2 linked regions of the Danio rerio genome follow. The protein of the gene in region 2 purifies or fractionates together with the protein of the main gene of each other region. This does not show direct contact. Links are inferred from orthologs where the notes say so. Each region holds a gene or a part of one and is shown on either strand. Other genes may lie near its edges.

Region 1 (3,833 bases), on a different chromosome or scaffold from region 2:
TAGGTCACAAACTAAATGTGTTGCACAAATCATTACCGCCAGTGAACACAGAATGTGAACTCCAAAATAATTCTGAAAATCACGACAATCAGCTTTTACATCAACTGATTACATCCAATGCAGTGCAATTTACTAATTCACTCAATGGTACATGACAAAACAGTGGGGAAAAATACAATCCAAACATAAGTTCAGTCTTCAAACAGAAACCATAGCAACATCGGGTGATAGAAAGAAAAATAGATGGTTTCCTGTGAACCCTTTGACAGCTCAATGAAAAGAGAGAAATTCCGTTCTGAAAGGGTCAGTGAGAAGGAGAGCAGTAACTCAAAAGAAACGTGAAGAATAAAACTACTGTATTTTTCTTTTCCCCCAGTGTGACTCCAGCACGTAAATTACAATACACCACCTACACTAGCTGGACTGAGTGTAAATTCCCAGTTAACACTTTAAGCAATATAGTATTGACAACAAACATTTTACAGTCATTAATGGTCATGTCAGAACATTTACTTGATTAAATCATAAGCATGCACTTTATTACCTACAGTATATACCATTATTCATTAAATTGTTTGTTCCTTCATGGATTGATTTATACCTGATTTAGGGTTGAGTGCATCACACTGGGCATTATAGATGTGCGTGAATTCTTGATGGCGTCTCGTGAGTTGCTCTCTGTTGCCTTGAGCAGAAAGATGGCATTCTTTAAGCATCTTCTTGAGCTTTGGCACAGTTATCAAAGTGTACAACAGCTTGGGCATTGCCTTTCGTCTTCCACTGCTGATACACAACAACACACAGAATTCCAGGGTCACTTCAAGAGCAAAAATAAAGAATAGTTCAACCCTCCCCAAAAAAAGAAAAGAAATACCTTTATATATTGAAGTTAAAGTCAAAATTCTTGGCCCAAGTGCTTAAAGTATTTCCCAAGTGCTGTTTAAAGGAGGGAAGCATGTTTTTTTCAGCATGTTTTTAAACATAACTGTTTTAATTTCTTTGGTCTTTGCCATGACGATAAAGCTGCAGTATATTGGAAAAATCAGATATTGTGATATTTCAGATGATTTTAAAAGCTCTCTTTGGGAAGATTTTATTTAGCTTTTTACCAACTGGGATGATCAAGTCTTTTTCTATGCAGTGCATCAGTATAAATTATAATAAAAAGGATTCTGCAGGTTTTAGCAAGTTTAATTTAAGACTTTAAAACATCTTTAAGACCATTCATTCATTTATTCATTTTCTTTTTGGCTTAGTCACTTTAATAATCTGGGGCTGCCACAGCAGAATGAACTGCCAACTTATTCAGCATATGTTTTACGCAGCGGATGCCATTCCAGCCGCAACCTATCACTAGGAAACATCCATACACACACATTCTCACTCATACACTACGGCCAATTTGGCCGCAATTCACCTGTATCACATGACTTTGGACTTGTGGGGGAAACCAGAGCACCTGGTGGAAACCCACACAAATATGGGTAGAACATACAAACTACACACAGAAATGCCAATTGACCCAGCTGAGGCTCGAACCAGCGACCGTCTCGCTTTGAGGTTACAGCTCTACCCACAGCTTCGCCTCATTTTTAAGACTAATAAGAATAAAAATGTAAAATTTGCCCTATCACACTTTTTTATAATTTATTAGTACAAAATTAATGTTTAATAATAAATTAAAAATGAAAGCAAAATATTTCATGGTGTCAAAACAAGAAACCTCTAGTTGTATACATAAATTTTTTTTTCAAAATTATCTTACTTTAAAATAAAAAAATTAAAAAAGTTCGAAAGATTTTAAAAACTATAATAAACTAAATGCATGCACAACAGTCCGTCCAGGTCAACTTTCTCAGCAGGAAATACATGAAAAATTTAAACAAGTGTTATTGTAAGGAAAATAATTCAACCATTATGGAAGTAAAAAATTACACTCTTAAAAAGTTAAAGTTTTATTGAGATGGTGTGTTATGGGTTGGGTGTTGGCCTGATTGGGTAGCTATACATGCACAAAATAAAACCTGTTTAAAAAAAAATTGCAAGACCTACAGCACAATATTTCAGTAAAGTTAAGACTTTTTAAGGCCTAAAATTTAGTTTTTGAGATTTAAGACATTTGAGGACTTTAAGACCCTGCAGACACCCTGAATATATTACAAACATATAGAGCAAAAATAAAAAAATAAAAAAATAAATAAATAAAACTGGGGGGTGTAACAGTATTCAAGTACTGAAATTGAACAATCATATGTAAATTAACATGGTAAACGTTTCATAAATAATTAAATACAAATATTTAATACTATATTTATCTTTTAATCTTTAATAAATAATCTAATCATGCAATGTGACTATTACAAACACGCACATTGCGATATCGATGCTTAAACAATATGTTGTTCAGCCCTACAACAGTACATACTATTTTTCAACTTATTATGCAAGATGCTAGTAACTTAACATGTACACGTGTGTTAATGTTTACAACAGATTTATGACAATTCACGTTGTCTTGGTAATGTCAAGTTGACATGATAAATACAAAAACAGGTTGTGATGCATTTGTTTATCAAGTTGTAATAAAACAATGTCATGACCTAACTGAGAAAATAACACTTGAACACTAAAAAAAAACAATAATTGTCATAAGGATGCATATAATCTCATTCACATTCATGACATGTTATGTCATAATTATAAAGGTGTCTTACGAACACCCCTTAAAGTAAAGTGTTGCTGAAAAGTAAATCTTTGTCATGAAAAAAAAAATATTATATTTTATTCAAACTGAAGGATCTGAATTTATTCAATCTTTGAACAAGGCAGATAATTGAGGCATTTTCAATATCTATTGCACATTAAATTAAGACAATCGAGGCTGTTCATTATAATGCTACCCATAAGATTAAGAGGTTATGAAGGCTATAAATGTTAGATAATTACATTTATTCTGCAAAATATTAACTATCAATGTTCTTCAATTAATACAGTCCATTAGCCAAACTGCAGGTCATCGAAGAAAAGCAGCAACTTGGAACATTATTACTGAACAGAACTGAAGTATACGCAAAAGTGTTGTATCAGCTGTTTTCAGGGAATCCAATTAAAACATATTGTGAGAACTCAACTCGTTTCATACCATGCATTTTTGCCCACTCTTTAATACAACTGTTGCACCACTAGCAATTTAGATCGAGGGTGACTTTAGGTCATAGCACAAATTTTCAATTGCGTTCGAGTCTGTGTCTAGAATACAAATGACTAATTTATAGTTATGCTGTGTAGTTTGTGAAGCAATTGTGCTGGAAAGTAACTCATATCTCTGGCAGAGTGAAACAGGTTCTCCACAAGGATTTGCATGCATTTGGTTTAATCCATGCTGGCCTTGATGCCAACAAACTTTTCAGTTTTACCATCTGAAAAAGAAATCCTCCCAACATAACACTGTCAACGTGGAAGAGTAGGTGTTATCTGGTGGATTGCATTCTGTGGAAAACACAGTGCTTTGCTTTCAGGTCAAAGAACAGAGCTCTTGTCTTACAGAACACTACATTTACTACAGAAATGTTCTGTCACATGACTTCCACAAAACTTAATGCTGGTCCTTTTCAGAAATGGCTTCATTTTAAAAACACTGTCCCGGATAGGTAAGGAGACAGCTGACCTACCATCCAAATAAACCCAAGAGATGCTTTTGCATGAAAATCCCAGTAGATCAGCAGTTTCTGAGATACTCAGACCAGCCTGCCTGGAAAAACAACCATGCCACGTTCAAAGTCACTTAAAACACCTTTCTTCCCCATTCTGATGCTAGGGTTGAACTGCAGCCG
Region 2 (3,833 bases):
CAAAGCCTCTTTTAATGTTTAATCATTTCATCATGTTCATTAAATATGCATCACAAAATCTTTCTGGTATTTAAACTATTTAACATTTAAACTATTTAAACTATAATTGTATTACACATTTTCATGCTTGACCCAAATACACAAGCTTTGTTAATATGCTTCACGTTTTATAATATGTAAAATATAATGCACATTTTTTATTTAGTCTTAGATTAGTCTTGGCGGAATAAAGCTGCTATGTTGCTGCTGTTTTATCAAAGCAGCAGAGCAAGTACTGAGACTTCCTATTGTCAGCATGTTCACAGTCACACAGTCTGAAAATTTAACATACTGCTGCTGCAAACGCAATATACAGTTGAGCCCCCTTAGAATTTTTTTTTTACATTTTTTAAATATTTCCCAAATTATGTTTAACAGAGTAAGGAAATTTTCACAGTATGTCTGATAATATTTTTTTTTCTGGAGAAAGTCTTTTGTTTTATTTTTTTGTTTTATTTTGTTTTTAATTTTTTTAAGAACCATTTTAAGGTCAAAATTATTAAATAAATTAAATAAATTTAAATAAACCGGGATCTAATAATTCTAACTTCAACTGTATATGTGACTCCCCGTAGCAGATCTAAAAACATGTGAACCTGAATGTGAATGTTCAAGAACAAGCTTATTGGCTGCTAAGGTGACAGCAACCAACCACCTGCACCATGTAGATAATGATTCAGTAGCAGTCACAACAGTACTTTGTATTATTAAAATCAACAAAAAACTGTGCTCCTATTTGGCAAATTATTTTTGATACATTAAATATGATTTTACAGCTGAAAGCAAACAAAGAAATTTATTTCTGACTATTATTTCAGATTTTAGTTTTTGTACCTGCATGAGCCGTCACTGGATCCTCTGCCCTTCGTTCCTGTGGTGGGACACGGAGGACATATGCAAACACAGCTCCGCCATTGGTCCCTGCCCACAGTGAAGGTGTACTGTGAGAACCTGAGGAAAACAAGAAGAAGATTAAGGTCATCATATCAGTTATAAGACCCAAAATCTAATCCCAAATTGCAGATTAAAAAACCCTGTGGTACTTACTATCACTGACAAATGTATCTGCGAAGTAGAGCGTTCTGACGAGACCTGTGAAGGAGTCATCAGATGATCGGGCTTCAATCTTTCTCTGTACAGGAGCCAGCTCCATCTCCTGCAGAGCCTCAGCCTCCAGCCTGGCATTGATCTCCTGCAGCTGCAGAAAGATCCAGAATATTCATCATCAAGCCAGCACCACTGTTTCAACAACTCTGAAGTATGCAGCGCCAATCGCTACTGAAATAGCTCTTCATGTAACCCTCAGTTAGCATTCATAGAATATTTCCCAATTGTTCTCAGCTGTGTTTTAAATGTGAGGTAGATAATAATTGTAAAACCAGCAGTTCTCAATCCCAGAGGCTCTGCGCTGGTTGTGAAAATTCCAAACTGACCCAAAACCAGTGAATTTGATTGGCAATGAAAATTTGCAAAAGTAGTTCAACCGGCGTACAAAGAGCCGTACAAAAAATAATAATAGTAAAAATATTGGCACAGAAATGCATGTATTTTGGCACTGTGACAGAACCAAAGGTACTGGAAAGAGATTCACAAAATTGTTCTTGAATTATTGGAAAGACTTTTGCAATGTCTTAAACGGTATATGTCCTGAATTGTACAGTGCAACTCTGTCTTGATTGTGATGAAGATTGTGTGCTGAATTTTTCTATATATTGGGCCAAAAAAAAAAAAGTAAATTTTTATTATGGTCAACTGCTCAGGTCCGTTCTGTCAATATGTAGTTGAGCAAAAAGATAAAACTTTTGTCATTGAAAAAGTTATCTTATGATTTACATCAAAAACCAGAGGTATTTTGGCGCATTTGGTCATCTTTCAGGAACCTTTATAAGGATACTTCTCAGTGACTAGCCTTTGTCTTTCAAATTTTGGTTAATATCTTCATAAAAGTCTTCTATTTCTATTTTTGCTTTTAAGAATTTCATACATTTTAAGGACAATATGAATTAAATTTCAGACGTATACAGGGCTAAATTATAAGTTATTTTTTTTTAATGGTCCAATTGGGCCAGTGTAAATTTTTTTTACTTTCCCCATCAAAAAAATCTAATGAATTATTTCTTCTTAAATAAATAATTAAATAATGTGAAAATATTCTGTCAAATATCTTTTCTCAATAGAACATTTCTGTAAGCAAAAACTGTTACAGTTTAAAAACTGTAATAAACTTAATGTATGTAACAGTCTGTCCCGCTCAGCGTTCTCACCAGGTAGCTATAAATAAACCATATTGGCAAATACAGTTAATAAAACACTTGTTAAAAGTTTTATTGAGCTGGATTGTTGTTGATTGGATGGATGTTGGATAGGTTTACATGGACATGCAAATGAAGACCCGTTTAAAATGATTTAAGACCTACAACACAATATTTCAGTACATTCAGTGAATTTTTTTATGGAACAGATTAAGACTTTATAACCCACCTTGGCTGCGTTGTTAGTGTGGTGTTTGCGCATGGAGACTCGACTGCGGCGAATCCTGCGGAAGGACTGTCGCAGAGACTTTTTGATGGACTTGACTCGTGAAAGCGGCCCCTCCATAGCCATCTGGTCACTGGGGTTAAGGGTGCATCTATAAATGGACAGAAAACAACTATCAACACAGATAATAAAATAAGCAAGAACAAAACAACAACTGATAAAGCATGTGTCTGTAATTTTGTTAAAAAAGTGTTTGTAATTTGATAAAATGTGGGATCAAGTTTTTTTTTCTAGCACAACATAAAGGCTAATAATGTGGTTTAATTTCTGTAAGTCATATATGTCGCCACTTTCCCTCGTTTCATGCTTTTTTGAAACATTTTGTACAGATTATTGTTACATGATGGGTTTGTCTATCCATTTGCTTTTCTATGTCTGCGAAAACTATAATAAAAAAGTTTTCAAAAAATATATATTTCCCAATAGTATTGTATTAAAAACAAATATGTGCAGCTTTGGTTGAACATCTTCTTCTAGTCATACGACTCTTTTAAATGTGGAAAATATTAATACTAGAATAAATACACTTGACTTTTGCTGTCATATATTCAACAAAAATATGGTTTGAAGTTTCCATGTAAATGTTTTTCATTCAGATCATTCATACTAAAAGCCAATGTATCATGTGATAAGTGAGTCAGACAAAGAGCTGTTTTTTTCCTTTGACGAAAATATGAAAGTACGCCCTGGTGACAATACTATTTTTACTAATACCACATAGAACACTTCTCTTTTTGATGGGAATTTTTAGATTACTGTGATGATCACATTGGCACATGTATTCTCAATCATCACTACAATGAACCAGATAAAAAAAAAACTTTAGTCTAATATGCTGTATATTGTGGAGGTTTTCTTTACCTAGGCTATTTGTGCGGTACACCAACTGTCCACTTCATTCAGTTTCACAGCTTGTGTAAATAAACCACATCACTATAATTAGATGCCTTAACTCTTTTTTTTTTTTCTCACACAGTTATTTTTCTTAAATGTTGAAAGAAAAGAGTGCAGTGCATATTTATATATTCATCTAAAAGTCTCTCTCTGCAGCATTGGCGGCTTCTTAATATACGTCATTAATAAATAATTGCAATGGTATTTCCAAATTAGCTGTACTTCCAAGCCGGGAATTAAAAAGAACTTTGCCATCAGTACACCAGAACAATAAATCATGTTCAGTTTCTTGTTTTTAGCACCACAAGCAAATTCATGGCCAAAGCTCTCGAGTTCACAGTGTTTTTTTCTAGAATAATGTC

What was found.
Region 1: the proteins of llgl2 (region 2) and rad18 purify together in Homo sapiens (affinity purification with mass spectrometry; 3 studies listed by BioGRID and IntAct, counting the BioPlex papers as one, with this or other methods). This does not show direct contact. The link is inferred for Danio rerio from reciprocal best matches to the Homo sapiens genes LLGL2 and RAD18.

What each region holds. Positions count from the first base shown.
Region 1 is NC_133181.1:44,380,039-44,383,871, reverse strand, and holds part of rad18 (E3 ubiquitin-protein ligase RAD18), read right to left. Parts: intron 784-3,833; coding exon 602-783; intron 1-601. UniProt on the Homo sapiens protein: E3 ubiquitin-protein ligase involved in postreplication repair of UV-damaged DNA. Postreplication repair functions in gap-filling of a daughter strand on replication of damaged DNA.
Region 2 is NC_133187.1:35,658,159-35,661,991, forward strand, and holds part of llgl2 (LLGL scribble cell polarity complex component 2), read right to left. Parts: intron 2,669-3,833; coding exon 2,521-2,668; intron 1,238-2,520; coding exon 1,087-1,237; intron 991-1,086; coding exon 874-990; intron 1-873. UniProt on the Homo sapiens protein: Part of a complex with GPSM2/LGN, PRKCI/aPKC and PARD6B/Par-6, which may ensure the correct organization and orientation of bipolar spindles for normal cell division.